Linked DNA regions of Nothobranchius furzeri. The protein of the gene in region 1 interacts with the protein of each later gene in a pairwise test. Links are inferred from orthologs where the notes say so. Each region holds a gene or a part of one and is shown in the gene's direction. Other genes may lie near its edges.

Region 1 (3,658 bases):
GACTAAAAGTGTCTTAGCGGGGACCAGAAAGAGTCTGACAGAATCTGGGCTCTGATATAGACTATTTTGTCCACAAAAAACCTCAAAAATGCTTTGCAAGTCATCACAGAGGGCTCAGTACCCACTGGTGGATGAATACTGAGGATATTATCTATTACATTAAAAAGCATCTGTAGCTTATGACGTGCCGAGAAGCTTTATCCCTCAACACATGTGGAGACAGCCAGCAGAACTACACATGCACATCTCCTTATTTAGATGCATAGAGGTGTGGAACACCAGGGAGAAGGCTGTGGTTCCAAGACCAATGAGATCCCTGGTCCTCGAACAACTGAGACACTGGGAAGAATCCTGAAGCTCCAGGTCTCTGGAAGAGGACGGGAGCTTGACTCCAGCTGCAGAAAACCCAGTCGAAGACTTCAGGAGCTTCTTTTGACCTTCCCTGCTGAAAACAACAGCATAGGTGTCACTAGCAAATGTTGTGTCTCGAGGCTGGTCCAGCAGCTAAACCAGCACCAAAGCACAACGTAAAAACTACTCAGTTTTTTCAGCTGGGTTTAATTCAGGAAAAAACGGATTCTTAGAAGTTCTGCAGCACTCTCTCACCTGAGGCCCACCTGTGTTCCTGCAGTGTTTGTGCGGTACAACCTGGGGCCTGGTGTGGCCGTGGAGCTGCAGGAGGAGGCAAGTGTGGCTGAGCTCAAGGAGGTGGTGGGGAGTCGACAGGGAGTCAGTCCAGAGGAGCTCCGAGTGCTGTTTGCTGGCAGGGAGCTGCAGAGTTCCACCTCCCTGCAGGTGAGCTCCTACAACTAACCCATTTACAGGTATGCTCACCAGGTGGTTACTTCTCACATTACTCCTTCTCATCCTCTCAGGGTTGTGACCTTCCTGAGCAGAGTACCGTCCATGTGGTCCACCCTCCTCCAGGCTCTTCCTCCTCCCAGCTCCTCCTCCTGCAGGAGCACCTGTCTCCAGTCAGAGAGAAGGAGCAGCGTAGGCTGACCAGGTTAGACCTGAGCTCCTCTCGTCTCCCAGCAACCTCCTCAGGACTTGCTGTTATCCTAGAGGCAAATGTGAGAGGAGGGGAAGGAGGAGCAACAGGAGGAGAAGAAGTAGAAAAAACAAGAGGAGCAACGGGAGGAGAAGTAGACAAAACAAGAGGAGCAACAGGAGGAGAGGAGGGTTGTGCTGATGAGAGAGTTCAGAGATCAGAGCAGCAAGCTGAGGCTCAGAAAGGTTGATACTCTCTGCATCCAGATGTTTGTACCTGACATGTAATGCTAGTATTTGTGAAACACATGTTGTTTGTATCCAGATGTGCGTGTCTGTAGTACTTTCTTTGTGTACTGTAAAAGCTGCAGTTCCATTCAGCCTGGAAAACTTCGCGTTCGCTGTTGGGTCTGCAAAGAGACAACGTTAACGCTCAGTAGGGTAAGTACTGCTTCTGTGTACTGAGCTTATATACTGCTAGAATGGATGAGGAATAGCAATACTCTGTAGTATTACTATATTATAGTAATATCGAACATTATGGAGTAATTGCTTTGTATAGTAATATTGAGTATGACCAGTACTACATATGTAGTATAGAAGAGTATTACCAGGGTTACCTCCATCTGGGAACCTGTCATAACAAGGCTGGTTTTCTGCCTTGTTTACGTGTGTCTTCCTCCAGAAGATGGAACGCTTAACTTTAATAAAATAATATTATTCTTGCTTATACAATGATTTTCCTCACTTTACGGGTTAATTACAATTACATAGAACAATGATTGTTTTATCTAAAGTGATTTTGATAATGTCTTGATTGCTCCCCCTGGGTCAGATCATACTTAATAACAACATCGCCTATCATAGCTATGCTGATGACACGCAGATCTACCTAGCCCTATCACCTAGTGACTGTCGGCCACTGGACTCACTCTGTCAGTGTCTAGAACAAGTGAATGACTGGACGCAGTCAAACTTCCTTCAGCTAAACAAAGACAAGATTGAAGTTATTGTCTTTGGCAACAAGAAGGTTAGGATGGATGCAATGGTCTCCTAACTGGTCTTTCCAAAAAAGCTGTGAAGCAACTGCAGCTTGTTCAGAATGCTGCTGCTAGAGTCTTAACAAGAACTAAGAGAACAGAGCATGTCACTCCTGTTCTTAGATCCCTATACTGGTTACCAGTAAACTACAGAATAGATTTCAAAATGCTCCTACTAGTTTATAAATCACTCAATGGCATGGGACCAAAATACATGTCCGATCTCATTCCTGTATACACACCCAACAGGGCTCTGAAATCCCTTGGAAACCACGGGTCAGAACCAAACATGGTGGAGATGCATTTAGCTGCTATTCAATTCAATTCAAGATACTTCATTAATCCCAGAGGGAAATTAGAGATGCTGCTCACATATGGAATCAGCTTCTCCAGAACCTCAGATGAGCCCCAACTTTAGTGTTGTTTAAATCAAAACTTAAATCTGACCTGTCCCCAGTTACTAGAGGTGTGCCCCAGGGCTCTATCCTGGGGCCCCTTCTCTTCATTGTTTACCTTCTACCACTAGGTCATATTTTCTGGAAATTTAACATTCAGTTGCAGATGACACCCAGCTCTATTTGATTCCAAACTCGATTCCCAACTCTCTCCCCCTCCCTCTCCCCATGTTTAACTGAAATTAAATCATGGTTTTCCTCCAACCTCCTCATACTTAATAGTGACAAAACCGAAGTCTTACTTGTTGGTACAAAATCCATCTTATCCAAAGCTGAAACTTTTTCTCTTAGCATTGATTCCTCTACTACCTGTTCCTCCCACCAGGTTAAGAGCCTGGGTGTCATTCTGGATAGCACTTTGTCATTCACATCTCATATCAATAATGTCACTCGGTTAGCTTCGTAATATTAATCGCCTTCGCCCCGCCCTTACTCCCCATTCAGCTTCTATTCTCATCCACAGTTTAGTTACTTCCCAAATAGATTACTGTAACTCACTTCTGGTTGGTCTACCTCAATAAACCCTCCACAAGCTCCGGTTAGTCCAGAACTCTGCTGCATGAGTCATCACCTGCATGCCCCTATTTCACCACATCAGTCCGGTCCTTCGGCAACTCCACTGGCTCCCAGTTAAACAGTGGATCGAGTTCAAAGTCCTACGTCTCACTTTCAAAGCTGTTCACAATTTTTGTCCTTCATATCTATCTGATCTCATTCACACTGTTTCTCTAGTCTGGTCCCTAAGATCGTCATCTTCCATCCACCTTACTGTTCCATTCTTCTGTGCCACCTCCATGGTCCTCAGATCCTTCAGATGATCCCCCCCCCCCCCCCCCCTGGAATTCTCTGCCACAAGTCATCCGGAACTCTGACTCCCTTCCCACCTTCAAATCCAAACTAACAACTCACCTTTTCCAGACTTCATTTTGTTTATGAGATAGCTTGTTATCTGATTTTTGTTTTGTTTTCCTAGGGTTTTTATGAGTGATTTGTTGCTGCTTTTAACTTTTAGCTTGACTTTTATCATTCTCGTACAGTGACCTTGAGTTCCCTGAAAGGCGCTTTAAATAAAATGTATTATTATCATTATTACTATTATTGTCATTAAAACCCTAATGTACTCATCAGCCTTTGAATGAATTGTTTCTTATGCTGCATCGTCTCCACTGTAAT
Region 2 (3,758 bases), on another chromosome or scaffold:
TTTTATCTTGAGAGGTGCTATATAAAACTATTCCTTCATTTTCTTCTGACCTGTAGACTTCAAATGTCGTGTATCTGCCCATAACCACTTTGCTGACCACAATCCTACACATTGCGATCCCAAACAGCTGTGTTAAGTTCTAGATAGCTGTGTACATTGACTTTCATTCATCGTTTTGACCGACTATAATATCATGTCACCACTGAAACTCACCTGGTGCTTTTTCTAAATGTACCAACTCATTTAATCTGGGTGCTTCATTTGTACTTATTTATTTTGTTTTTTACATTGTTCAAATATCTTTTAGTTCACTTTGTGAAATGTTATAGTTCCAAATGGGTAGGTATAGGGCTCAGATAAAGGATCACCAAAACTCCCAAGATGCAAACTTTATCAACAAATCTGCAGAACATACCTGAAATTAAACCAACTGAGACTGAAATACTGGGAAACTTTCAATTCAATGTGGCTAAAATAAACAAATACTAATAAAAATAAACCTCTATGCAGTTTTAGGTTTGTTACATGTATGTTTGTAACAGTAAGAGCAGAATGCAAAGTCACATGTAAGTTTCTGACATGCGCACAATCTTTAACCACCAGACAATCATTTTCTAAAACCAGACCAAAATAATCAGTTATACCTATTCAACTAAACAACTAATTTAGGGTTAAGTCAGTGTTTTCCATTACACACATACAGCCCTGAGACTGATTAGCCACCACTAACTTCCGGTTAACGTTTGCTAACCGGCAAACATAAGAAACCTAAATATTACACGGCAATATCACTATGACAAATACATTTAATTTACAAAATATTACCTCAAGATACCAAGCGGACAAAACAACCGTGTTGTCACGTAATTTCTTAGCGAATGTTGCCTTTCCCGATTATTTCCTTACTCCGAAAGCTCTGGAACAAGACGTACCAACCAACATTAATGCCACTTCCGGGGAAGTAGATGACGTAGCGGAAGTTGTTCGAAGCTCGGCGCTTTTCTTCAAAGCGCCCCATCTGCTTTGGTATCTAATTTTTGTGAGTGACTTACATCTTTGGTAATAGTTTTAAATGTCATTTACGGAAAACTCTTAATAGTGAAAAACATCTACCGGAAGTCGCAGCGTCTCTTTTATTTACAGCTTCCGTGTTAATTTTGTTGTTGCTCGGCTAGCTACGTTCTATGTGCGTAGATGCTTTTGTAAAGCACCCAGGAATTAACACACTTGAAGTGAAACCTACATGTTACTTGTCTGCATTTTGATTCGCGATGTAAAAAACTGTTTATGTATTTACATGGAAAAGACCTGCCAGGAAACGCCAAAAGACAGTAGAGTGGCAGGAATTTGTTTTTCTTTCAGCTGTATTCCTTTACAAGACTCAGCTGAAAGAAAAACACTCAAAAACATAAGATGGGCAAATTATTATAAAGATACTACATTCAGAACAAAATACAGAGTCAAAGAAAATTAAAATATTATGACTTGTGTCCCTAAATGACCAGACATCACAGGAGACACAAAAACAATCTGGTGCAAAACACCTGCAAACTGTAACATTAGCTGTGTGTGTCCCCTGCTGTCCTGAAAGTAGCATGGCCTGGCCTGTTTTTGCTTGTTGACATGGCAAGTTCTGATAAATAAAATATAATTTTATGATAATATAACTGTTTTTTTGAACTCTTATCTTTTTATTTCAGTTCTGCAATGCCTCTGTCCACACAATCTCAAGGTGAAGATGAGCAATACATTTTAGTGACCAGTTTAGATAATGCCCGCAATCTCTCCAATTTACTGAAAGCGATCAGCTTTAAGGACCATGCTGTTTTCACCACAACACCCAACGGCCTGAAAGTCACCGTCGAGGACTGCAAATGTGTGCAGGCAAATGCTTTCATTCAGGTGTGTTTGGTGCTTTTTAAAAAGTTAGTATATTTTTAAAAGAAATCTTTACTTTTAGAATGAATCCCAAATAAATGACAGTTTGCTTGAAACCCTAAACAAAAGTTGTATCTCTTTAGGCAGACATTTTCCAAGAGTTCACCATAAAAGAAGATTTGATCACTTTCCAAGTTAACCTCACAGTTCTGCTCGACTGCCTGAACATCTTTGGGGGAAGCACTTCAGCAGGTCAAATCAGAAACTGAAACTCTATTCCAAACACCTGATGTACAGTTTTAAATGTTTATTTAACCATTTTATAAAATTGCAGGAATTTCAACAGCCTTGCGGATGTGTTACAAAGGGTACGGATACCCCCTGACATTATTCCTGGAGGAGGGTGGTGTAGTCACAGTCTGCAAGATTAACACTGAAGAACCAGAAGAACCGATCGATTTTGATTTTTGCAGCAGCAATGTCACGAACAAGGTTCAATCCTCTGTGAAATCTGTTGAAAAATAAGATAAAGAAAATAATATATTAGTCATTATGTAAAGAAATGTGCTATCCTTCATTAAATCACACCTGTAAAAACACTAAAGCATTTTTAATCTGGTGTAATTTTAAAGGTGATCCTGCAGTCGGAGAGTTTGAAGGAAGCCTTTTCTGAGCTGGATCTGACCAGTGAGATGCTGCAGATCACCATGTCCCCCAGCCAACCGTACTTCAGGTAGACTGTCCAAATTATACTCAGTATTTACTTCCTGGAGCAATCTTTTGCCAGCATTCCATCCACATCTTCCATCCTTGCCCCTACTAGACTCTTGAGTTTCATTTATCACAGATGCCTCTTTCTGTCTAATGGATGATCTGTTTTTGTCCAACTTTTCAGGCTGTCTACATTTGGGAGTTCTGGAAGTGCCCATTATGATTATTCTAAGGATTCAGATATGATGGAGCTGTTCCGGTGCAAGGAGACACAAACCAACAGGTGAGCGCAGTCAGGCTGTAAAAGTGCTTTTATTACATCAGTGGTGTCTCACGGTGCATGTGAGACACTATCCAGCATGTTTTAGTTGTTTCCAGCTCCAACACACTTAGTTGAATGACTAATCCTTCATTTACTCTGAGTGCAGAACGGGAGCTGTACGCATTCCTGTCAGGAAATTTACAGATCCACCCAGATCCTGATACGGAGTTATTTCCAGATGACACAGATTTTCATGAAGTTAAAGAAATTACATTAGCCAGACAGGAAGTGAGACGTTGGTGAACAAAGTGCATCTGGTATATTTTAAAATAAAATGTGTGTTGCATTGTTTTATGGCGTTTTTATTATTATCAACAGGAAAACCAGTACACAGTATAGAATAGCTCGTGTTAAATTTACAGGTATACATTTGAATGTATTGTGTCAGATTTCTTACGTGAGGTTTGGTGCTCTCGCTGGAGCAAATTTCCAGAGGTGTTCTGCTGTTGGTGTACTTGGTCCGTACAGCGGCTGTGTGGAAACCAGATTACATCCGTTCCACACCCGGTGTAAGTCACCCGATTAAAATCAGGTGTGGTAAGGCAGAAGCCTCTGAAGCATGCAGGATGGTGGCCGTCCAGCACCAGGATCAGACATCACTGTTTCACGTAAAAAAGAAAAAAAAAACTGTCACATCACTTTAGGAGGAAGTTCGTTTCCATGTTACTCAGCTCCTGATATTAGACCCTGTAGAGTTCCTGCTTCCTTATGGTGGCTGCAGCAGAGCCACGTTCATTGTCTTTCTTTGCTGCTTTCATGCATCTGTGTGTGACAACAAAAATCTGGTTACGTTTTCTTGCTCTATGTTCCTCCTCCTGTGGCAGATACAAGATGTCCTTGCTTAAGC
Region 3 (2,433 bases), on another chromosome or scaffold:
TTAATTCAGCTAAATGGTGGTCCTGCTGAGATTCAGCGTTGAGTTGGACTCAATAACTCACAATCATCTTGTCAGTGTGGCGCCATGTGAAAACACTCCTCTGCCGTTTCTGTCTGATTGACTGATGCTTCTGTCAGCTGTTACCATGGCGACTGGTTGGTCCAGACAATCAGCTGCTGTGTTCTGGTTTCATCAGGTTAGTGTCGGCTGGAATCCTGCAAGGTTTAGGCCTCGTTACAGAAGAATGTGTCTGCTGTCCAGCTGGGGCTAAGTCACTAGGCTTCATTGTTTTATCATGCTTCATGTTATCGGTATTGAAGACGCCACAAGTCGTGATCACTTCAGCTCCCCTCACTACTTAACCACCTGATTAAGTCAATAGCCTGATGTAAAAGTCCCCGTACAGGTCAGCCATGTTTGATCTGAGTAAAGTAAGCTTTTATTAGCCAGGCCTTCTGAGTCTCTTCTCTGGCGTCATGCTGCTCATCCTGGTCCTCTACTGGCTCCTGTTGGTCAGCGAGGACCAACTGACTCTCAGGAAACGTCCCATGAACATCTTGGTGTTTGTTTTTATTCAAAAGAAAAGATGCGGCAGCTGTGAGTTTATGGTGTCTAAAAGTTCTGAGAGAGAAACTAACAAAAGAAAACAGGCCCAACTCACTTACTCCTGGTTCTGTTTCAGTGTGAGAGTCGTGGAGAGCTGCTGGTGTCCCTGTCCTACCAGCCCGTGTCCCATCGTCTCAGCGCTGTGGTTCTGAAGGCCCGACACCTCCCTAAGATGGACATCAGCGGCCTGTCAGCCAGTGAGTAGAACCAGAACCAACTCAGCTCAGGCCCAGGTGAAGGAACTCTGTCAGTATAAGAGACAGAAACCCCAGGTGGACGGTTGCCACCATGATCCTAATCTGACCCACTTCTTTGCGCTTCATCAGCCTTAGAACTGGTCGGAAATCACTAAACTGGTTCCAGATCAGCATCAACTGATCCCAGGAACCTTTTCCATCAACATCAGGTTGAAACGGTCTCTTAGGACTCTTCATTCCTTCTTCTTCTCTCAAACCTTATGTCCTGTGTGGCAGAAAATGACGTCGCATTAAGTTGTGCAGGTGGAATAATGTTCAGCTGCCCTCCTGATTTTTTTCTCATTTAATATTCCTTCATCTGATTTCCTGTCCTGATCCCTGCAGTGAGGGGAATTCCCTCCTGGGAACCAAACAAAACCACATCCTGTGAAGCTCAGGGCTCAGACCAGCATATAGAGAACCACTCAGCTAAAGGAGGATGACTCCAGAACGTCTGGTATTTGAGCAGAAAACCTAATGATCTGACACATTCTTCTCCTGCCATCAGATCCGTATGTGAAGGTGAACGTCTTCTATGGCCGTAAGCGCATCGCCAAGAAGAAGACCCACGTGAAAAAGTGCACACTGAACCCGGTCTTCAACGAGTCTTTCATCTACGACATCCCACCAGAACTCCTGCCTGAGATATCTGTGGAGTTCCTGGTGGTCGACTTTGACCGGACCACCAAGAACGAGGTTCTGGGCCGCCTGCTCCTCGGTCTCCACAGCCCGTCGTCCTCTGGCACCTCCCACTGGAGGGAGGTGTGTGAAAACCCCCGCCGGCAGATCTCCAAATGGCACAACCTGAGCGAGTACTGAAGGAGGAGAAGCTTCAGGAACCAGCTGATGGCACCGAGCAGCTGGGACTCCACCAGTGAACCCCCACTGGAAACAAACAGTGTACAGCACATACACACACACACACACACACACACACACATATACACACACACACACACATACACTCCTGCAGCACACACACTGTTGTGGTGATACTTAAACTCTTCGTCTCTATTATCTCTTTACAAACACGACATTTGCAAGTGTAAGAAGATTCCTGCGGTTCTTTTACTAAACAAAAAACAAACAAACAAGCGGCCCATTTCAGACACTGTCCTCGTGTCTCCTCTGGCTGTGTGTGTGTAGACGGGGGAAGGAATGCTCTCGTATAATTAAAAACTAAAAGTTTACTTAAGAAAAAAGAAAAGATCCCCTCTCGCTGTCGTTGTCATGCACTTCATTGCATGTCTGTCTGAAAAGAAGAAGTAAACCTGAGTGATGATCTGGGAGAAACCTCAGCTCCATAACAACATAACCCAACACTGACTATATCCAGTAGAATTACTCCTCAGTATAAGAACTGGTGCTGACGCCCTCGGACATCCCGCTCTGACGCTTCTCCGCGCTGACTAACCTCCTTCTCAGAAGGTCTTTGATTTAGTCGTCAGCATGCTTCCCGTCTGCAGCGGTCCTGCAGAAACGCGGCGTCCTGATCCAGAACCACAGGAAGTCACAGTCCGTCCCCACATTAGCTCCAACTCTAATGTGGACTCAAACCGGTTCACATCTCCTGATTCCTCCACCTCCGAGT

What was found.
Region 2: the proteins of prkn (region 1) and rad1 interact in binary tests that used the Homo sapiens proteins (3 or more experiments, as listed by UniProt). The link is inferred for Nothobranchius furzeri from reciprocal best matches to the Homo sapiens genes PRKN and RAD1.
Region 3: the proteins of prkn (region 1) and syt11b interact in binary tests that used the Homo sapiens proteins (3 or more experiments, as listed by UniProt). The link is inferred for Nothobranchius furzeri from reciprocal best matches to the Homo sapiens genes PRKN and SYT11.

The regions. Positions count from the first base shown.
Region 1 is NC_091752.1:62,529,439-62,533,096, forward strand, and holds part of prkn (E3 ubiquitin-protein ligase parkin), read left to right. Parts: intron 1-631; coding exon 632-795; intron 796-875; coding exon 876-1,236; intron 1,237-1,315; coding exon 1,316-1,431; intron 1,432-3,658. UniProt on the Homo sapiens protein: Functions within a multiprotein E3 ubiquitin ligase complex, catalyzing the covalent attachment of ubiquitin moieties onto substrate proteins. Substrates include SYT11 and VDAC1.
Region 2 is NC_091746.1:58,355,229-58,358,986, forward strand, and holds the start of rad1 (cell cycle checkpoint protein RAD1), read left to right. Parts: upstream 1-949; 5' UTR 950-1,039; intron 1,040-1,700; 5' UTR 1,701-1,707; coding exon 1,708-1,902; intron 1,903-2,021; coding exon 2,022-2,130; intron 2,131-2,212; coding exon 2,213-2,370; intron 2,371-2,510; coding exon 2,511-2,611; intron 2,612-2,773; coding exon 2,774-2,872; intron 2,873-3,735; coding exon 3,736-3,758. UniProt on the Homo sapiens protein: Component of the 9-1-1 cell-cycle checkpoint response complex that plays a major role in DNA repair. The 9-1-1 complex is recruited to DNA lesion upon damage by the RAD17-replication factor C (RFC) clamp loader complex.
Region 3 is NC_091745.1:59,982,085-59,984,517, reverse strand, and holds part of syt11b (synaptotagmin-11b), read left to right. Parts: intron 1-682; coding exon 683-803; intron 804-1,350; coding exon 1,351-1,661; 3' UTR 1,662-2,433. UniProt on the Homo sapiens protein: Synaptotagmin family member involved in vesicular and membrane trafficking which does not bind Ca(2+). Inhibits clathrin-mediated and bulk endocytosis, functions to ensure precision in vesicle retrieval.